3 linked regions of the Stegostoma tigrinum genome follow. The protein of the gene in region 2 interacts with the protein of the main gene of each other region in a pairwise test. Links are inferred from orthologs where the notes say so. Each region holds a gene or a part of one and is shown on either strand. Other genes may lie near its edges. The genes, in order: ranbp9, oprm1 and gap junction alpha-4 protein-like.

Region 1 (7,694 bases), on a different chromosome or scaffold from region 2:
TTATCTTTGTGAAAGTGACTACTCAATGGGCAAGTCTCATGGGTGACCATAGTATATATTTTACTGTATAATTCATTTTTATTTCACAAACGGGTTTCTGCTATGTTACAATATCACATTAAATCATGAAGGTCTACTCAGAAGAATTAGGAACTGGCATAACGAGTGGAGGCAACATAAGGAACTTGTTCTGATGGCCAGTGGTGGCAGTGGGAGAGAGTTCTGAGAGCCTGAGGAAGCAATGGCACTGAGACTTGAGGCTTTGGGGAGGGAGGCCCACTTACGGGGAAAAAGACTGCCTTATGGAGATAAGACTTTTAGATCTGGATGCTTCATATTACTTTCTTGGCTCCTGTTTTTTTTTTGTATTTCTGCTTTTTTAAAAATTCTGTTTTTTGCCTCTTAGTTTTGTTTTAAATTTGAGGTTTTGTATGTCGGATTGTGCCAGAGAAGGGTGACTTTGTACACTTTTTACTGTATTCCAATACTTCTGTATTTGAGTACATGACAATAATTGGGAAACCCCATGATATTCAATAGAAGTTATTGGTTTTCAGTGAAAATTCTGGTCATTGTTGGTTTTGACATAATAATTGGAGCAGTGAATGCTGGCCTACTTGACTACTGAGATCAGTGTTTCAGTCTAGAAATCTCCATTTATGTTGGTAGCAGCCCTATCAGTTTTGTAGTAACAACCTCAGTGATTGAGCCAATGATCAGTGGTCTAACAATGATGTAACTGCACCAAACTGCTCATTTTTAAATTGACTGTTATTGATTAGGAGTGTGCTTCAAAGGGCAGTACCTGCACACAAACACACCATTTAGTAGCAGAATACTGAAAGATGTGCACAAGTTGTTCTGCTTAACTCCCACTGCTACCACAGGCCCTCACAACTCACATTCTATGTTGCCTCCACACCTTATGCCAACTCCTAATTCTTCCGAGTAGGCGTTCCGGATATAATGTGATATTGTAACATAGAAGAAATCATTACTGATAATGATATGATTTGTGAAATAAAAATGAAAATATGTATTCATTGAAATATGTATTGTGTCACCTATTGGACATGACCCATTGAGTAAGTCATTTTAAGAAAGACGGCCTTGTTAGCAGTACTTTCATCTAATCATGCCAGTTTTATTTAGAATGAAGTCAGTATTATGAACATTAGAAATGTGACTGACTTGAAATAGACTGGTAAAAACAGCCAGAAGACAAGCACTCAATGGAAGAGTAGAAGATTAATCCTACTTATCCCTTGATCAACAAAATTTTTTCAGTTTTATGAATGATCATCTCAACCTAAAACACCAGCCTTGTTTTTCCAATGGGACGCTTCCTAACCTGCTTTATAGCTCCAGGTCTTTTTTTTGTATTATTTCAGATTTTTGGTATCAGGCTGTATTTTGCTTTTGTTTTACAAAGCAGATTAACTGGTTGTTATCACATTGCTACTGGGAGCTTACTGTGTGCAAGTTGATTGCCCATTTCATGCATTTTAACAGCAAATGTAAATGGAATTAATGTAGTTTGGTGTTTGTTGGTCAGCATAGAGTTGCCAACAAAATTCCAATTTTTCAAGGATTAGGATTTGTTTAACCAATTTTAAAACTGAATTGATTCGCTTTTATTTTGCAACTGCTGGCAAAAAAGAATTCTACAGGTCAAGCTATGCTATAGGCTGCTGGAGCTTCAGCTAAATTACTTGCATCATTAACATTTCTTAACCAAATCCAAGCTCACTTCCAATATTTATAGAGTTAAATACAGCTCTTTTTATCTCTTCAAACTAGAATTCAATTTCCCACTGGAGTGAATAATTTAATTCAACAATCTAAATGAAAAGAGCCAACTGTTGGTTGTGGAAACCCAGAATAAAATACTGCTAGGATGAAAACAGCTCTAATTGGTAGCCTCACCTCTGATCTAGAGGGTTCCTGAACCAGGTCTAGAATGCATGATGTGGGCTGATGCTCCAGTGTAGTATGAATGCTCTGATGCGTTCACCTTTGCCATCCATTTGAAATCTAAAATAAAGGTTTTATTTGCGTGTCCTGCAAGTCATTTCAAGAAACCATGGCACTGAAGAGTAGGGAATTCTCCCGATGCCTTGACAAAGTTTTCTGTCAACCAACACCAAAAAAAAATCAATGGTCATTAATTTCATTGTCAATGGACGGTAGTGGTCATTAGTAACTGTTCCATTTTGCTTTTCATAAATCACAAATTTCAAAAAGCACTTGCACATTTTTTCCACTTGGCAAAGTACAATCAAATTCAAGCGGCCATTTATCAACCATCTCTAGACCTAGAAAGAGGTTAACAAAGTCCCACTGATTGTGCTGTTATGTGATAATTCAATCTCCTGAAGTGCTTGTTTTAAGAGTAAAATAAGATGCATATTCTAGAATTTTATTACCTGTTTTATATAATGCTTGGAGTGATGAATGATATGTGATATGTGGAATTCACCAAAAATCCTCAGATGACCACTTCCATCTAGAAGGACAAGGTAGCAGATATGTGGGAACACCATCAACTTCAAGGTCCCCTCCAGACCACTCCCCATCCTGACATGGAAATATTTTACTATTCCTTCATTATCTCTGGGTCAAACCCCTGAAATTCCTTCCCCAATAGCATTGTAGTTCAACCCACAGCAAGTATATTGGACTAGTTCAAGAAGCTGCTTACCACTGCCTTCTCGAGTGCAACTAGGGATGGACAATAAATGCTGTCCAGGCAGTGACATCCACATCCCACAAATGAATTTTAAAAAGTGTAAAATTTGCCACAGCAGAGAAAGTAATACTAAATTCCAACTCAAACACTAGTTGCCATGCAATCTAGTTGCTCAGTGTCAAGTGTGAGACCAGCCAGAACTTTCACCAACTAAATATAAATGAGGCCAAGTTGTTTTTGTTGCAAATAGAGAGACCTAAGGGTTCAGGTACACAGTTCTTTGAAATTGGCATCATGGGTAGACAGCATGGTGAGGAAGGCATTTGGCATGCTTGTCTTAATTAGTCAGAGCATTTGGTACAGGAGTTGTCGTGTTGCACCTGTACAAGACATTGGTGAGGCCACTTTTGGAGTACTGTGTACAGTTCTAGTGGCCCTAGTATAGTAAGGATATTATTAAATTGGAAAGGGTGCAAAAAAGATTTACCAGGTTGTTACCAGGACAGGAGAGTTTGAGTTATTACAAGAGGCTGGATAGGCTGAGACTTTTTTTCCTAAGAGTGTAGGAAGTTGGGGGATGACCTTAGAGGTTGATGAAATAATAATCAAGGCCTTTTCCCTAGATGAGGGGAATTAAAAACTAGGGGGCGTAAGTTTAAGGTGAGAGGAAAAAGATTTAAAAGGTACATGAGGAGCAACTTTTTCACACAGAGGGTGGTTCATATGTGAATGAACTGTCTGGTGAAGTGGTTCATGCAGGTACAGTTATAACATTTAAAAGACATTTGGACAGGTAGACAAAAAGGAAAGGTTTAGAGAAATGTGGGTAAAACACAGACAAATGCTTAATTTGGGAAATCTGTTTGGCATGGACAAATTGGACTGAAGGGTCTGTTTCCGTGCTGTGTACCCAATGACCCTATGACTCAGAGATGGTGGGCTTAAGGGCCTGTTTCTATGCTGCATGCCTCTGTGACTCTACAGACATTTCAAGTATTCTTAAACTATGTTATAAAGTGCTCTGTAATGTACTATGATCTTTGAAGGTCCAAAATAGACATTATTTTATTTCTTTTTGAAACACAGCAAAAGCAGACACCACCATCTCAAGTGGTGTCAATGAATCTCCAATCTCTTGGGTCTCAGAAAAAATGCTGTTAATTACTGCAGATACCCCTCCAGCAGTGCTGCTATCCAAGCCTTTATCTTGCATACCTGATCTCACTCTTATCCTAATTCCTATTACAACTCTGCTCCAAGCATAACAATGATCTTTGTGTCGTTTGCCATTTCAATTTTCCAAATTCTGACCATCTTGACTTTCCTGTCTCTGGGCAGCCATAGCATATTAATTAAATTCAATGTAAGCTCAAACAACACCACATTTCTGGACTTGGCAGTTTACAGCCTTCTGAGCACAAATTTGGATGATGATCGATTCAGAGAAAGTAGGAACTACCGATGCTGGAGAATCTGAGGTGACAAGGTGTGGAGCTGGACGAACACAGTAGTCTAAAGCAGCATCAGAAGAGCACGAAAGCGAAACGTTATCTTTCCTGCTCGAGGCTGCTGTGTTCATCCAGCTCTACACCTTGTTAACTCTTATGTTTAGATGATGGTCAGTGCTTCTTTTTTCCAACTGATGTATATCTGTTTTATTCCTTCACTTTCCACTCTGATGTTCAGCCATGCACAACTCGTCTGTACACATCTTTTGCTTCTTTACCCATTATTGTGGAATGTTTTGCCATTTAATCCCTCCTCACCCCTTATCCCCACCTCTCCAATTCTGCATTGCTTCACTCCCTCACCCTGTCTATTGCATTCATTCCTTACTCGCCTCCCTCCGGAGACCCCCCTCATAGGAAGTTAGCCTCTCTGCAGCATTTCCCCTGCCCCGAGCTTAGCCCCGCCCCCCAGCCGCGATGGTTTAGCGTGGGTGGCCAATGAGGAGCGGGTTGGGCAGCGGCGGCCTGTCAGTGAGCGGAGACAGGCGGACATAGAAGAGAGTCACTCAGTCAGATTCGGATGCAGCAGCGACTGAGTTGGGTTGGAGCTGGAGTTGGGGACGGGGACGGACCGGGTGGAGGGAGGCAGGCTGGCTGTCGGTCGGTCGGGCTCTCAGTGAACGAACGGGCTGAGGGCTCATAAGGCGCGGCCGTGGAAGGGAGACGGCATCGGTCGCCGTTCCGGGTTTCCAAGTCTCGTCATCCGGGGCTCGGAGCCTGATCCAGACCGTCTCCGGCCCATTATACATCCACCCAGAGCTCAGGCTCCGGGTTTGGCCTAACCCCTCCTCCCGTCCTTCACAGATCCGCACCCATGGCTGGGCTGTCGGCGGCGCACGGAGAGTCGGCACTCAACCTTCAAGAGAAGGAGCTCACCGACCGCTTCAAGCGGCTCTACCCCGCTGTCAACGAGCAGGAGTCGCCGCTGCCGAGATGCTGGAGCCCAAAGGATAAGTACAGCTACATCGGCCTGTCTCAGAACAACCTGCGGGTCCATTATAAAGGTAAGCGGATGGCCCCTGGCACCCAGGGACGTCTTGACACTGGTACTGAGCCCAGCTAAAGAAAAGGCAAAGAGGGTGGATGGCAGCTACAGTTTATAGGCACCGACTACCAGGCCCCTGGCCTTACATAGCAACAGTTAACACTGATACGAGAGGCCACCGAATCCCACCAAATACCTATACAGGGGTGTCATATAGCCACATTAGTCACATAGAACTATCTGGAATAAGATGAGTGCCAAGACTGATTACATGCACCGACTGTGAACAGGCCAAGACTTGTACACCACAGTTTGGAACATACACTTCCGTACACAGTGAGGAAATGAGTTGGGGAGTTGGGGGTGGGGCGAGCGGTGTGGCGGGCGCGGTGGTGACGGGCCTTGAGCACTATGTCCATAAATGACATCTGGGCCATGGCCTGTTGAGATTATTTGTTGAATACTATCAACAGAATTAAATACAGTTGAAATATTTGCTTTTAATTGAGTGTGAAAGAGCCCTCGCGGTAGAGAAAGATCTGATCTTAAAACTTATCTAACATTTTAAAAATACACGTAAGTAGAAAACAAAGCTAGTTCACGAAAGATCTCCATAGAGATAGACATGACCCTAACTAGTCAATGATTGTGAATTTTGGGTCACCAGTTAACTATTATTGAGAGTATGTGTGTAAGATACTTCTAAAACGGACATGGATTGTAATAAATCCAATGTGTGGTAGAGGGACTGTTTTGCAAGTGTCTATAACATTCAATATATAAACGATACATTATGTGAACAACTGGCAACTTTAGTTTTAAAAAAAACAAAATGAAGCCCTTTAGCCTCCAACCAGCAAAAACAAATCAGTATCGACTGTTAAGGAAGAGCAATGGATTGCAACGAGTTGCAATGTGACCTTTTCCCATCTTTTCAAAAATGAGGACTAGAGAATGACCTAAGTTTTAATTCGGTTTGAATAGAATGAGTGACTGATTCCCATTGAAAATGTTTGTTTGTGTCCTGAGTAAGAGGAGATTGGGCAGTGGGCTGAGTTCTTGGGAACCTTGCATTGCAAACCCCATTGAATTTCTGTTTTCTTTGTCGAAGGATCCAAAAGCAAGGGTAGGTTGAAAACTGAGAAGAAAGAGAAAAAAGTTAGAAGCAGATTATTTCAGAACACAGCTTCTAAATATTAATTTCATGTCAGGGTGTATCTCCAAATAATATAGAATGGATGAACTGGCTTGGAGCCAAGAATTTTACAACTATAATTTTGGATATTTTTGTTCATTATGTTTGAAGTGGACTTGTTACAGTGCAAAACTGAAGCTGGTAACAAATCAATAATTTTCTTTAATATATTAACAAATCCAATCACTGCTTTGAATTCTTTGATCATATATCACAGTTTTTGTCTGTGAATCCTGGGTAACTTTATACTTACTTTCTTAATCTGTTAAGTTTACAAACTCAAATTATTGTTAAAATAACCTTAACGCTGTAGTTTCCTTTATTTATCCTGCTAAACTGTTTCTTTACAAATGTCATGCAGCCTCCTCTCCCCTGTGTACTCAGATGTCAGGGTAATATTATCTGTGCTTTTCATTTGAGGTATCATTACTCAGTGATGTCATTTAATGCAAAATGTTCCATTCTGCAGAATGACACCAAAGCATGACTGCAGTTGTTTTTCAAGTAAATTATTTAGACAGTAGAGTACTGTATCTATTGCTCCTCAGTGACCACTCTACAATAATGTTTTTGTAAGTCTTGGCATTGTCTCTGCTTAATGTTGAAGGTACCTTCAGACCTTCTCGCTAGGTTACGTCAATTGTTTGTGTTTTGCAGTGATTGAACTTAAATTTTGGAAATGAAAATCTAAAGATTAGCTGCATTTTGTTCAACCCTCATTCTTTGGTTTTGCACTCTAGGTAAATCTACTCATCTACAAATAATACCAGGAATCTTTAACTTCTGCTTGAACTATTGGGACATGATCAAATCTTGCTTTCATTCAAAGTGCAGGACTTCTGATAAAGCCTTGAGAGCACACTGAAGTCACAGCTAGCTTTTGTGCTCAAGTCCCTGAATGAGGTTTGAATTCTCAACCTTCAGAATTCAACTAAAACCAAGTTGACGCCTCGCCCATGCAGTATCCATGAAATTAATTATCCGCAGGCAGTCAGTTGGATAAAACAACATAAAGTTAGACCCTATATGACTTAATATGCCTCCAGTGTCAAAAATTTGCAGATGTTGGACTCTGTTTCTGGCATTTTCACTTACAGGTCAGCGAGTATTTGAGAATTCATACAACTTGAAATTTCAAACATTAGATTAGTAACATTTTAGAAATGTGGCCTTTCTGTGAATAAAGAGTCTATACTTGAAATTTCAACTTTTTTAAACAGATGTTTCCTGAACTAGTGACTGCTTGCAGCGATTTGTCATTTAACCCTTAAAAGTGCCAGATAATAAAATAACAGGTGTGATTTGTTGAGGCAACAA
Region 2 (7,658 bases):
CAATGTAACTACCGTCCCTTCACATTTAATGGTGTGACCTTACAATCAACATCTTTGGCATTAACATTGAACTCAACTGGACTCACCACATAAACACAATGGTTACAAGATCAGATCAGATACTAGGAATCCTACAATTAATAACTCACCTCCTGACTCCCCAAAGCCTGTTCACCATCGACAAGGCACAAATCAGGAGTGTGATGGAATGCTTCCCATTTGCCTGGATGAATGCAGCCCCAACAACACTCAAGAAACTTGACACCATCCAGGAAGCACAACGAGGTCTAGGTGTTCTTGTACATCAGTCAATGAAAGCAAGCATGCAGGTGCAGCAGGTAGTGAAGAAAGCTAATGGCATGCTGGCCTTCATAACAAGGGGAATTGAGTATAGGAGCAAAGAGGTCCTTCTGCAGCTGTACAGGGCCCTGGTGAGACCGCACCTGGAGTATTGTGTGCAGTTTTGGTCTCCCAATTTGAGGAAGGACATTCTTGCTATTGATGGAGTGCAGCGTAGGTTCACAAGGTCAATTCCCGGAATGGCGGGACTATCATATGTTGAAAGATTGGAGCGACTGGGCTTGTATACCCTTGAGTTTAGAAGGATGAGAGGGGATCTGATTGAGACGTATAAGATTATTAAGGGATTGGACACTGTGGAGGCAGGAAGCATGTTTCCGCTGATGGGTGAGTCCAGGACCAGAGGACACAGTTTAAAAATAAGGGTTAGGCCATTTAGAACAGAGTTGAGGAAAAACTTCTTCACCCAGAGAGTGGTGGATATATGAAATGCTCTGCCCCAGAAGGCAGTGGAGGCCAACTCTCTGGATATTTTCAAGAAAGAGATGGATAGAGGTCTTAAAGATAGTGGGATCAAGGGTTATGGGGATAAGGCATGAACAGGGTACTGATTGTGGATGATCAGCCATGATCATAATGAATGGTGGTGCTGGCTTGAAGGGCTGAATGGCCTACTCCAGCACCTATTGTCTATTGTCTATTGCTTGATTGGCATGACATCCACAAACATCCACGCCCCTCCCCTCTGATGCTCAGAAGCAGAAATGTGTACTATCGACAAGATACAGTGCAGAAATTCACCAAAAATGGTCAGACAGCACACTCCAACCTCATAACCACTTTCATCTAGAAGGACATAGGAACATCACCACCTACAAGTTCCTTCTAAGCCATGTACCATCCTGACTTGGAAATATATTGCTGTTTCTTAACTGTCACTAGTTCAAAATTCTGGAATTCCTTCCCTAAGGGTTTTGTGGGTCTATCTACAGCACATGGACAGCATTGTTTCAAGAAGGCAGGTCACTACCACCTTCTCAAGGGCAACTAGGGATGGGCAATAAATGTTGGCTGGCCCAGCTATATCCACATCCCATGAGTGAATTAAAAAAAAGGATATTGAGTGGTGGGTGGGTTTGGATGGTTATTAAATTGTAATAGAGCTATTATTACTCGAGAATAGGAAAAGAGAACAAGAACCTTTTTTGCAGCACCTTTCGGTGTGAACAAGTCATACGAACCTCAAACTATTCACTCGGATCCTCTCTCTACGGATGTGCTGCCAGATTTGCTGAGTTTTTCTGGCATTCTCTGTTGTTGTCTCAGATTGAAATATCGAGTCATTCAAATTTGCTGATAGCCTGAGACTGTGTCATCTTCCTTCGGCTCTTGATGACCTGGTCTGCAGACTGGGGTGGAGTTGGATGCCACGCCGGTGTTAGAATGCAGTTGGTTGAAAGGAGGAAGCATGTGTGATTTTCTCTATCAGTATGTCACGATGTCAATTTTGTCCTTCCCTCAGGGATAGCACTAGAGTTTCACCAGTGAATATGGATGGGGTTGGGGAGAGGTGTTGGTGAGAGGAGAGTGGAGGAGTTGTAATTAGGTTTTGAGGAGCGCTTAAAGGTAGTTCCTATTGAAAACGTGAGAAAGGAGTTTATAAAGAAGTAAAAATGTACGTTGAGGATTGACTGCACGATTTGAAACGAGGGTCCATCTGAGGGTTCTTTAGACGCTGCATTCCCACACTTACCGGTTAGATGGCGCTGTTTGAGCAACTAAGACAAGTGGCAAACCCATCCCGCCCCACAGATATCTATTAAATACAGCTATTAATCCATAAACATTCAATCAGTCCACAGATACGCAGTTATTAACGTGAAATTCACGCAATTCATCTCTACGAAATTGAACTGTGCCGAACCTCTCAAATCCATGCATCAACATTGAATGTGCAGTAGTTCGTAAGGTTATGCACATTGGCTTATATGTAAACAAGAACATTGTACTGAAGTTAGACGCCAATACTACCAATCAATGAAGTGAGGCGAGTGAGAGATGGTACTCTAGTCAAAATCCATTGATGCTGACAGAGGTTTCGCGAGAGAGCCAGAGAGAGAGAGAGAGACAGACAGACGGAAAGACACACAGATAGAGAGGCAGCGAGAGGGGAAGGACGGATGTCTTGGAGTTGAGACTGTACGTTACCTGACAATCACATACATGACCAGGACGTTGCCCACCAGTCCCAGCACACAGACAATGGAGTAAAGAGCAGTGATGATGATGGCGATGATGATTGAAGCCGAACTCTTGCTCAGAGGGACGTTCTCGGTGCCGTTACACGGGTTCGAGCTCGAGTTGATGCAGAGATATGACCAGTTGGCTGAGCCCAGGCTGGAATTCATGGTGGTCAGGCTAGTCTGGCAGAGCTGGGACCCGTTGGCAGCTAGATCAATGCAGGGCTGGGCGAGTAGCTCCATTGCAATGTTTTTCTTTTGTTTTTAGCAGAACGTAAGGGATTTTTTTCAAATTAAAAAAAGGAGCACTGTTGATTCAAAACTTCAGCAGATCCTCAGATGTGATAAGTGCGACGCACCTCCTGGTCAGTGCAATGCTCTGGGTGAATTGAGCTCACTCAGGGCAGCAGTAGCGAGAAGCTCAGCGTTCCTCACGTTATATGCGAAGGGAACACTGTTGGTGCCTGGGCATCCAGGCTGTCTGTGGCACTGGTTGATCCATCTCCACCTCGTCTGATTTTTTTTTATTCTGGACGTGATTCGCCGCTTTATTGGAGGGGGCTGACGTCAACCCCTCCCCATTCCCCTCGCCTGTGATTGGAGTGTCGGAGCCAGCACCTGGCCGCAGTATCAGTTAAAGGTATCAACTGAGCACCGGAGCGGGCTCTGCGCTGTCCATGGTGCTGAAACAACGCCGGCTGCAATGCAACGGGGGCTAGGAGTCCGAACAACCGGGAAGTTACTGGATGGGGTTTAAGGACACAGAACAGAGAGAGAGAGGCGTTAAACTAAAGCGTCCTCAGCAATAGCTCTGTCCCATGACGCTTGAGAAGTCAGCCCTTGATACAGTGAGATGAAATTCATCCAGGAGGGAGCTGGGGATTCAATGGAATTGAAGACATTGGAATGGATTTTCAGTTGAAGGTGATGCACAGTTGGGTGATTGGAAAAGGGTTTATTATGTTAAACAGACAGTTTCTGCCACAGTCACAAATACGGTCATTTCATCATGACACGTGGGTTATTGTGCTTTGTGGCTGGTCCTTGGCCCTGTGGCTTCCTTCCGTTGACATTTACAAGGAAATTTTCATATAAATAATCAAGCAGTTGACTGCCATATTCATTAAGTGCCACTTATGTGAATCCTTAGAATGTGTGGAGATTACTGTTTTGAGAAGAGAACAGTTCACAATCATTCATTGCTGTACACTGTGCACCCCAAACCTTCCTGAACAGATAGGTGCAGGATCTGTAACTTGCAGGTCATTAAACAACTATGTAAGATAAATGCAAAGGATTTGACACTTTGGAGGATGCAAACCATCTGAGTTAAAAGAAAATTAATGGAAGACTGGCATTTCTATAGCATCTTTCAGGGATTCAGGACATCCCAAAGCATTTCATAATCAAGGAAGTTTTTTTAAAATTTGTAGTCACTATTAGAATGAAGGAACCAAGGCAGTCAATTTATGTATAACATGGTCTCACAAGCATCTTGAAATAACCATAGATTATTTATATTCGCCTGTTTTTTTGCATGTTATACCTGAAAAGCAGAACTTTGGTAGTTCAGCACTGCCTGTGTCAAATTAGGTCATGTGCTCAAGGCCAGCAGTTTGAAATCTGAACTAAACAACCTTCTGACGCAGACATAACAACATTATCCACCAAATCATTGATAACACAGGGTGATGGGTTATCTACCCTTCCACCTCCCCCCAAACTCAGTGACATGCCTATTTTCTTCCTACATGTTCAGCAACCTGCTATGGACTACCCACATTTCTTAGTTCCCTCTTAGATTTGAAAGCTTTGCTTTCTCTGTTGTAGATGTCTGCCTGGCAAAGTTTCATTGAGATTGTTAAAGGCATCTTTGACTTCCTCAGGCAACCTCAGTGACATGCATCATCCAAAAGGCTGCAACAAAATTCTCCTTCTTGATCTCAGATAGTTCTGAAGACTGAGAATGAGTCATTCTATGCGGGGAGAGAGGAAGATAGCTTTGCTAAGACATGGAACTAATTTAATCTCATTCAAGTGGTGCTTGCCATTGAGAACAGGTAGAGAATTCTGAAAGACATCTGCTACCTTCTATCACATACTTGATTTCTTTGAAACAGAGTGATTGGCAACTTATTGTGTAGAGATTTGTTCCATTCAACTTTGTCATTCTACTCTCTTTTTGATGTTGAAGATAATTGAAAAAGGAACCAGAGGGGAAATGATCATATTTTCTTTTATGTAGTGAGTTGTTGTGATCTGGAATGGACTATTCTGAAAGGGCAGCGAAAGTGGATTTAGTTATAATGTTTAACAACAAATTATGAGCAGATGGCTGAGGTGTGAGTGGGGGAGCACTTTGGGACCAGTGATCATAGTTCTATTAGTTTTAAGATAATGATGGAAAAGGATAGACTGGATCTTAAGTTTAAAGTTCTAAATTGGAAGAAGGCTAGTTTTGATGGCATTAGGCAAGAACTTTCAGAAGTTAATAGGGGACAGATATTCCCAAGTAAAGGGATGGTTGAAAAATGGGAAGACTTCAAAAATGAGATACCAGGTGTCCAGAGACAGTATGTTACTGTTTGGGTGAAGGGCAAGGTCAGTAGGTGTAAGGAATGCTGGATGATTAGAGAAATTGAAATTTTGGTCAAGATAAAGAAGGAAGCATATGTCAGGTATCGATTGCAGGGATTAAGTAAATCCAGTAGAAGTATACTTAAGAGGAAAATCAGAAAGCCAAAAGGGGGACATGAGGTAGCTTTTGACAAATAGAGTTAAGGAGAATCAAAAGGGATTCTACAAATACATTAAGGCAAAAGAGTCACCAGCAAATGAATAGGGCCCTTAAAGATCAGCAAGGCTGCCTAAGGGTAGAACCACAGGAGATAGATCAGACACTAAACAAGTATTTTGCATCAGTGTTTATGGTGGAGAAGACTATGGAAGCTAAAGAACTTCGAGAAATAAAGAACAACTTCTTGAAAAATGACCATATTACAGAGGAGGGGGTGCTGGACACCTGAAAATGCATAAAAGTGGATAAATCCCTGGGGCCTGATCCAGTGTATCCTAGAACTCTGTGGGAAGCTCAGGAAGTGATTGCTGGGCCCCTTGCTGAGATATTTCTGTCATCAATAACCACAAGTGAGGTGCTGGAAGACTGGAGTTTGGCTAATCTGTTGCTCTTATTCAAAAAGGTGGGAAGGAAAAGCCAGGATCTATAGCCCACTGAGCCTGACATCAGTGGTGAGCAAGTTGTTGGAGAGGATTCTGGTAGACAGGGCTTATATGTATTTGGAAAGGCAAGGACTGATTAGGGATTGTCAGCATGGATTTGTGCATGGGAAGTCATGTCTCACTAACTTGATTGAGTTTTATGAAGAAGTAACAAAGAGCATTGATGAAGGCAGAGCATTGGACATGATCTATATGGACTTCAGTAAGGCATTCAACAAGGTTCTGTGAGTAGACTGTTTAGGGAGGTTAGATCTCACAGAAAACAAGGAAGACTAGACATTTGGGCATAGAATTGATTCGAAGGTGGGAGACAGAGGGACGTGGTGGAGGGTTACCTTTCAGACTGGAGGCCTGTGACCAGCGGTGTGCCAGGAGGATTGCTGCTCAATTCACTACTTTTCATCATTTATACAAATGATTTGGATGTGATCATCAGGGGTACGGTTAGTAAATTGGAAGATGATGCCAAAATTAGAGGTGTGGTGGACAGGGAAGAACATTACCTCAGAGAAAAATGGGATGGTGATCAGAAGAGCCAATGACCCAAGGAGTGGCTGATGGTGCTTAATTCAGATAAATGTAAGGTGCTGCATTTTAGACAGGCAAATGAGGGCAGGACTAATACACTTAATGGTAAGACCCTGGGGAGTGTTGTTGAACAAAGTCCTTGGAGTGCAGGTTCATAGTTCCTTGAAAGTGGAGTCGCAGATAGACAGGATAGTGAAGAAGTTCTTTGGTGTGCTTGCCTTTACTGGTCAGTGCATTGAGTACAGGAATTGGGAAGTCATAGATAATGGGAACTGCAGATGCTGGAGAATCCGAGATAACAAAGTGTGGAGCTGGATGAACACAGCAGGCCAAGCAGCGTCTTAGGAGCTCAAAAACTGATGTTCTGGGCCTAGACCCTTCATCAGAAAAGGTTTCTTCAGAGGCAGGAGGGTAACTTCTTCAGGTTAGGCCTGAAACATAAGCTTTTGTTCTCCTAAGATGCTACTTGGCCTGCTGTGTTCATCCAGATCTACACTTCGTTATCTCTTAATTGGGAAGTCATGTTGTGACTGTACCAGACGTTGGTTCAGCCGCTTTTGGAAAACTGTGTTCAGTTCAGGTCTTTCTGCTATGGGAAGGATGTTGTGAGACTTGAAAGTGCTCAGAAAGATTTTCAAGGATATTGCCAGAGTTGGAGAGTTTGAGCTATAGAGAAAGACTGAATAATCTGGGGCTATTTTCCATGGTGCGTCGGAGGCTGAGGGATGACCCGATAGAGGTTTATAAAATCATGAGGGGCATAAATAGGATGAGTAGACAAGGACTTCTTCTCGGGGTGAGGGACCCCAAAACGAGAGGGCATAAGTTTAAGCTTTAAACGAGATCAAAGAGCAACTTTTTCGTGCAAAGGGTGGTGTATATATGGAATGAGCTGTCAGAGGAAGTGGTGGAGGCTAGCACAATTACAGCATTTAAAAGGCATTTGGAAGGGTATATGAATGGGAAGGCTTTGGAGGGATATAGATCAAATGCTGACAAATAGAAGTAGATTAATTTCGGATATCTAATCAGCATTGACAAATTGGACTGATGGATCTGTTTCTATACTGTACAGCTCCATTACTCTACATTTATATAGCAAATTGTATCAAAATGAAATGATCACAAGGTGCTTTAGAAGAGGATTACAAAGTAACATTTGATACCAACTCAACTACAAAGATACGAGGACAAATGATCAAAATATGGATCAAAGCAATAAACATTAAGAGGCATTTTAAAGCAGATTGCACCTGAAGAGGAGATGGTGAGTGTCTTCTTGAACTGCTGTAGCTCCTTTGATGTAGGTAGAGCCACAGTGCTATTAGGGAATGATTTTGAGACAGTGAT
Region 3 (7,549 bases), on a different chromosome or scaffold from region 2:
GCCAGGCAGCATCAGAGGAGCAGGAAAGTTCTTCAGAAAGAAGCTTCCTGACCTGAAATGTCAACTTTCCTGTTCCTCTGAGTTGCCTGGCCTGCTGTGTTCCTCCAGCTCCACACTGTGTTGCCTTTTAAATACATTCAATGTTTTGAGATCAACTACTTCTTATGGTAATGAATTCCACAGGCTCACCACTCTTTGAGCGAAGAAATGTCTCCTCAACTCCATTCTAAATCGTCTACCCCAAATCCTCATACCGTGACCCCTGGAACAGCATCTCTGCATCTGCCTTGTCCAGTCTTATTAGAATTTTATAAGTCTCTATGAAATCCTCCTCATTCATCTGAATTCTAGCAAAAATATTCCCAACCTAGTCAATCTCTCCTCATATGTCAGATCCAACATCCCTGAAATCAGTCAGGCCATTCTCAAATTTATCCAACTACACTTTGGCCAGAGACAATAAAAACATTTGCGAATGTACAACTACAAGAACAGCTAAAGACCAAAATTCTCAGATGTTCTGATAGGATTAAAGAAGTACCTGAGAAGATTTCAAGATAACAAAGTGTGGAGCTGGATGAACACAGCAGGCCGAGCAGCACCTCAGGAGCACAAAAGCTGATGTCCTCTGATGAAGGGTCTAGGCCCGAAACATCAGCTTTTGTGCTCCTGAGATGCTGCTTGGCCTGCTGTGTTCATCCAGCTCCACACTTTGTTATCTTGGATTCTCCAGCATCTGCAGTTCCCATTATCCTTGAGAAGATTTGTTAGTTTTGGGTATACAGAGATAAATTTGGGACATCGCAACAAGTAATTTTCAAAGGAAGACAAGTCCTAATACCAAAAACATTACACCAATATATTGTGTATATGTTATACAAAGGGTATATGGGTATTGACTGCTCAAGCCAATTATCATGTCAATCTGCATACTTGCCAGGGATGAATCAAGATATTCAACAACTCACAAATCTAAGTAAGGTATTCTAAACATAGCATCTCCAACAGCAGAGGGAGTCTTTACATCTGCATAATATTCTATCCTCTCCTTCAAAGAAGATAACTACTCAATTATTCACACTGCATAGGGAAGATTACATCCTTATGGGGGATTACTTTTTATTAACTCATTCATAGGATATGAGTGTAACTGGTTGCCAGCATTTATTGCCCATCACAGGTTGGCCTTGAGAAGGTGGTGGTGAGCTGCCTTCTTCAACCGTTGTAGTCCACCTGCTGTAGTTGATCCACAATTCCACAGTATTGACTCAGCAACAGTGAAGGATTGGCAATATACTTCCAAATTAGGGTATCGAGCTGCTTGAAGGGGAACTTGCAAATGGTGATGTTCCCAGATGTCTGCTGCCCTTGTCCTTCTAGATGAAAGTGTTTATAGGTTTGGATGATACTGACTGAAGATCTTCGGTGAATTTCTGCAGTCCTTCTTATAGATAGTACACACTGCTATTGAGTGTTGGTGGTGGAGAGAGTGGATGCTTGTGGATGTAGTGCTGCCAATCAAGTGGGCTGCTTTGTCCTGAATGAGGTCAAGCTGTTGTGCATTGTTGGCGCTGCAGCAATCCAGGTAATTGGGGAGTATTTCATCACATTCCTGACCTGATCCTTGGTGGCATAGATAGTGAATAGGCTTTTGGGGAGTCAGGAGTTGAGTTACTCGCCTCGGCATTCCTTCCCTCTGACCTGCTCTTGTAACCATTGTGTTTAGGTAGTGAGTCCAGTAGAGTTTTTGGTCAATGGTAACCCCAGGTTGTTATTAGTTCAGTGATGGTTACAGTTTCAGTGGTAGTTACACCATTAAATATCAAGGGGCAGTCATTAGATTGTCTCCTATTGGAGATGGTCATTGCCTGGAATTTGTGTGGTGTAAATTTGTGGACCTTATGATGGAGGGAAGATTGTGCAGCTGAAGGCAGTTGGATCTGGGACTCCACCCTGAGGAACTCCTGCAGAAATGTCCTGGCACTGAGATGATAGACCTGCAACAACCTCATGACTCCGACCAGTGGAAATTTGGCCCCCTGTTACTCAAGGATTCCAGTTTTGCTTTGGTTTTTCAATGCCACACTTGGTCAAAATTTGGCCTTGATATCAAGGGCTGTTATTCTCAACTCACTTCTGGAATTCAGTTCATTTGACCACGTTTAAACCAAGGCTGTAAAAAACCAATGCTCTAAATTTTCCATTATTTAGCTACTTAGCAACACAATGGGTGCAGTGGAGTATGACACAATGATTACGATTTCCGGTTTGTTCAGTCTCCAGGAACAGATCATGTCTGGTTGCATTTCATTAATAAGCCACTTAAAAGAAATGTGCACCAAAAGGGGTATATCCCATATTACACAATCTCTATCCTCTTTCGAACAGTTTAGTGAATTCCGTGCAAATAAGGCCCTGACCTGAGCAACAACAGCCAGACTGCATCGTACTAAATAACACCAATCAACATGCAGAGAAGAATGTCTACTGAGCTACAAATACAGGCCCACTCAGTTCTAACCCCTCATGCCTGGGCTACTTTGGAGACCTTTGGTCCGTGAGCTCAGAAAGTGATCCTTATGTGCCCAGTTGCAACAATCACCCCTCAGCAGCTGAATGTTGTTCACAGATGATGACCTCTCTCACTGAGATTTATCTTTTTCAGATTTGGTCACCTACATCTGTTCACACAATTTCCCAAGTACTATGTGAAATCTCAGGCTATCTTTATGCTATGAATGTGCAGCACCATGTTCATTAGTTTAAACAGTAGATCAATACTACAATCTAGTTCTGGGCAGGAAGCTTAATCTGAGGAATGGGTTAATTGTTGCAAGTGTAACACAGTTTAATGGGGAATTAGTTTGACTGCCACAGTGATTGGACTAACTTTTCATGAAACAACTTATATTTTCCAAGGTATGAAGTAGAGGAAAGATCAAGGTTGAGAAAAGATCATTTGACTCTTAAGTACTCAAAGAGCCATTTTCCCAAATTCTTCTGATCATAACATTGTCTTCCCAAAACATCAACTCCAATTGACATGAATTAGAGATGTGTTCCTCAATACACTGCTCAATGAATCATATAACCCCGACAGTGTAAAAACAGGCCCTTCGGCCCAACAAGACCACACTGACCTTTGGAGCATCCCACCCAGACCCATCCCCCGATAATCCACCTAATATACACATCCCTGAACACTATGGGCAATTTAGCATGGCCAATTCACCTAGCCTGCACATCTTTGGACTGTAGGAGGAAACCAGAGCACCCAGAGGAAACCCACACAAACACAGGGAGAATGTACAAACTCTGCTCAGACAGTTGCCCGAGGGGGGAATCAAACCCAGGTCCCTGGTGCTGTGAGGCTGCAGTGCTAACCACTGAGCCACTGTGCCACCAATGCTTTGGGACTTCTCTGGAGCATTTGATATAACGTTTATCCTCCTTCTGGCCATTTGGCATTAAATCTTGAGCATTCTCACAACATCAATGGTTGAACAAAGAAAGCAAAAGGCTACCTTTTTCTGATCGGAGTGAAATTCCCAACTCTGCATCTCCACACCTTCTCACACCCATTAAGGACCAGAGGCTAGATTCGAGATAAGGAGCAGGAGGTTTCGACAGGACATGAGGGGAGAAATCATTCAGATGGTGATGGGAAGCTGGAAAACCTGCTGCCTGCAAGGATGATAGAGTCAGAGTCTTGTAAAATTTAAGAAGTATTTAGATGTACGCTTTCGATGCCAAGGCTATGGGTCAAGTGCTGGAAAATTGGATTAGAATCATTAGGTGGACAGGGTGAATAACTGAAGTCTTTTTCCTAGGATGGGAGAGTTCGAGACTAGAGGTTTAAGGTGAGAGGGGAAAGATTTAAAAAGGACTTGGATAATTTTTTCACACAGAGAGTGGTGCGTCTATGGAATGAGCTGCCAGAGGAGGTGGTGGAGGCTGAAACAATTACAACATTTAAAAGGCATCTGGATGGGTACGTGAACAGGAAGGGTTTAGAGGGATATGGGTCAAATTCTGGCAAATGGGACTAGGTCTGATTGCGATGTCCGGTCCGTGCGGACAGTTTGGAACAAAGGGTCTGTTTCTGTGTTGTGCAACTCCATGATTCTGAGTCACTGGACCTGAAACTTTTAACTCTGATTTCTCCCTACAGATGCTGCCATACCTGTTGAGCTTTCCCAGCAATTTCAGTTTTTCTCTATGACCCTATGGTTATTTTTGACGGGCGCAGACTAGATGGGCTGAGGTTCATCCTTTCTGTGTTGTAGACCTCTATGACTAAAGACTGTTTTTGCCTCAGTCTCCCTCCAATAATAAGTGCTGGATTGAGAACAATGGACCTGTAATATTTGCTATCAATCTTGCTTGCACAGAAGAAAACGCACGGAGCACCGGGATCAATGCAGTTCGTGTTGTTGGGAGCTGTTAGCCTGGGAGAAGTAGACAGAGCTTGCTCATGCAGCTGATTTCCTTCCTGTTGCTGGAAGCTGTCAGCTGTACAGGACTCATACATTCCTGCTCAACTACATCTCCTGTCAAAAAAAAACAATGCACAACTTCTGATTCCGCAACATACTTCAGAGATGACGTTGGAGGAGCTTTCCCCTTAAAATGTTTCAACTCTGAGAAACATTCCTAGTAGAACGGGACAAATCCTGAAGGCCGGGTGTCGGGTTACAGCGTCCTGTATCTTTTATAAACTTACTCTTGGTAAGTTATTGAATTCCAGTCCCTACTAAACTAACGGATGGAGGCTGATGGCGGTCTCTATGTAACCGATCATTATGGGAGTGTTAACAGAAATGCCTAAAAGAAGCTATTTCAGGAGGAAAGTAATGAATTGCCGTATCTCCACAGGGTTGAATATTCAGTTTATTTGATTTTTTTTTAGGTTTCCCTTACACGGTAAATATGTAAAGGCTAATGCCGTGAGTGCAACTTACATCTGATTGACAGGTAGAGATAAGTGGACTGTAACACTGGACTCGTTCAGTTTGTCTTTGCCATGCTGTTTATTTCAGAGATTCGTTGTTATTGCAGGTGTGGAATTTTTTGTTGAGACTTTTCTCGTGCGTTCTGAAACTGAACAGGGAACACAATCATTTTTATTTCAGGCACCTTCCGGGAGGTGTCTCTGAGTTGTTCAGATTTCTACATTCTCCTCTGATTTTTGAGCTACTGGTGCACCCGTTTGTAAGATTTCTGTTACCGGGATGACACTAAGTGCCCAGCGTTCTCTGTTAGCTGTTACTTTGGAAAATATCACAACCCACAAGTAGCCACTGAAACTGAGCCAGTTTTGTGAAGGGCTTGCTACCTGGTCAGGTGTGAATATTTGCAGGAATTCCCAGAGCTTTGTGCTAAATCCAGCGGAGCTTTCTAACAGTTTGAAAAGTGAGCCATTTGAGTATCAACTGGCAACCCTTACTTGGCAAAGCATTTTCCCCTACTCTATTCACTCTCTTCCTTGTCATAGGTGCCAATCAGAATAGACATGAGAAAAATTGGACATCAAATGATTGAATTTATAACATGATAGCATTCTTCTTTTGCTTGACTAACTCTATCCAGATTCAGCAGGCACACCTTGCCCATTGTTACAGTGAAGAACAATTAAAACTATAATTTCTCTGTAGTGCTTTACTCACTTGTGAGGCATGGAGCAATGGTCTCTGACTCCACACAAAGGAACTGTTATATAGTCATAGCATGGGACAAGGTAGATACATTGAATGGATAAGATGGATCCATGGCAGTGACTTATACAGTGATGACTGAAAAGCAATCCCATGTCATTTTCAACATCAGTTCAATTACTCATCTTTACAGTTGTTCCATCACCTGGCACATAATATGATGGAGACAACCTGGGCATTTGGGCAAGACTCAGCATGTACCAGTAGTTACTACAGGACAGCTAGCTTCCCTCAAGGCTGGCCCTTCTTTTTTGAAAGTGGACCAATCCCAGATCACTTATTACAGCTAATTTGATGAAGGTTTTCACAATGAAGAGCAATGAATATCAGCAAAAACTGACTGTCTGGTGCTGCATTCAGGCATATGGTTCAGTCCTCTTACCTTCACCTCATAAATATTAGAACCTTCCTGAACATTGCACACTATCTGTGGGTCTCAGAGTAACCATCAAGCTTCCATCCCCAAAAGTGCACACCTTTTCCCTAAATTATCTATCGCTCCATCTGCAATTTTAATGTACCATGGGGTAAGTCACACTACCTCATTTTAGCATATTTTGATGAACGCATCCACTTCATGGTTCTTCATCAATGTTTTGAGAATGGCAACAAAACTTCTTGAAGCAGAAAAAGAACCTGAGGCAATTTTTGTGTTCATACCGACAGTTCCGATCTTTAGAAGCTTTCTGGTTCTCAATTATGTGAAGACTCTAGAAATGCTGAGGTTTTTTAGAACAGAAGAGATTAACAGAAAGATTTATTATACATGTGCAAAATTATTTAATGCTTTAATTAGATTAAATAGGGAGCAACTATTTGCAATGATGAAAGTACTGGTAACTAGAGATTGCCAATTTAAGGCAATTGACAAAACACCCAGAGGCATTATAAGGAATGAAATGTACAGCAGGTTGTTATATCTGGAAAATACTCACTGAAAAGGTCGTGGGAGCAGATATGCTAATAACTCAGAAGGGAATTGGGTAAACACTTGAAAAGTATTTGCAAGGCTGTGGGAAAGTGCAGCATCATGAGACATTGCCTACGCAGAATGAGCCTTATGGCCTCTTATGCTACATGATTTGATGATAGTACCTTAATTTTATGCCAGTATTAGTTGCTGCACGTATTGTGTGTCCATCAAAGCTTATGCAGTCAAGAAAACTTTGACCAACACCGTAAATAAAACTTTCAACAATGGTTGTTGCTTGAGGATAAGTGGCAAACCCCTCAAAAGAAATCTAAACCAGACGCTGAATCTGTAACTAGCTCGTCTGAAAAGAAATTAAGAGTTACAGATATCGATCCCAGATGGGTGCATGGCATGAAAAACATTATCGCAATGAGAAATGATGGGAAATGACACTGCACCAAGGAGAAGGGCAAAGAAGCCTAGAAGTTGTTTTAAGATTGCTTAGCCTGAACTCAGAGCTTAGTCCAAACAGCATGCTCCACTTTCAATAGCACAGTGGAATGATCAATTCACATTAATTAATAAATTCATTGCCAAAAAGGAAGTAAAGGTTACTTATAGGTGGGTTGATCATTGCCACATTCTTTTGATAGTTTGATGGTGTGTGATTGACACCAGCAGTGTAAAAACATAATATACTAGAACAACAGAGTGAAACAAGTAACTGCTACCGTTGGAGTTGTATTGGAGTATTTTCACTTAACATTACAGCAGTGGGTGCCATTTGCAAGTCTTGTTCTTTCAAATCCAAAGACTATCATATTTTATCATTTCCCTAAAGTTACAAACCAGATGAATTTGGAAGTTTATATATTCTCATGCCTTGCAAATTAAATTTAGAGTGCAGCTTATGACATTATTT

The links.
Region 1: the proteins of oprm1 (region 2) and ranbp9 interact in binary tests that used the Homo sapiens proteins (3 or more experiments, as listed by UniProt). The link is inferred for Stegostoma tigrinum from reciprocal best matches to the Homo sapiens genes OPRM1 and RANBP9.
Region 3: the proteins of oprm1 (region 2) and gap junction alpha-4 protein-like interact in binary tests that used the Homo sapiens proteins (3 or more experiments, as listed by UniProt). The link is inferred for Stegostoma tigrinum from reciprocal best matches to the Homo sapiens genes OPRM1 and GJA4.

Annotation. Positions count from the first base shown.
Region 1 is NC_081355.1:38,960,815-38,968,508, forward strand, and holds the start of ranbp9 (ran-binding protein 9), read left to right. Parts: upstream 1-4,642; 5' UTR 4,643-4,733; exon of another isoform or gene 4,734-5,001; 5' UTR 5,002-5,011; coding exon 5,012-5,201; intron 5,202-7,694. UniProt on the Homo sapiens protein: May act as scaffolding protein, and as adapter protein to couple membrane receptors to intracellular signaling pathways. Acts as a mediator of cell spreading and actin cytoskeleton rearrangement.
Region 2 is NC_081362.1:94,689,209-94,696,866, reverse strand, and holds the start of oprm1 (mu-type opioid receptor), read right to left. Parts: upstream 3,035-7,658; 5' UTR 2,784-3,034; coding exon 2,509-2,783; intron 1-2,508. UniProt on the Homo sapiens protein: Receptor for endogenous opioids such as beta-endorphin and endomorphin. Receptor for natural and synthetic opioids including morphine, heroin, DAMGO, fentanyl, etorphine, buprenorphin and methadone.
Region 3 is NC_081377.1:16,332,510-16,340,058, forward strand, and holds the start of gap junction alpha-4 protein-like, read left to right. Parts: upstream 1-4,506; 5' UTR 4,507-4,728; intron 4,729-7,549. UniProt on the Homo sapiens protein: One gap junction consists of a cluster of closely packed pairs of transmembrane channels, the connexons, through which materials of low MW diffuse from one cell to a neighboring cell.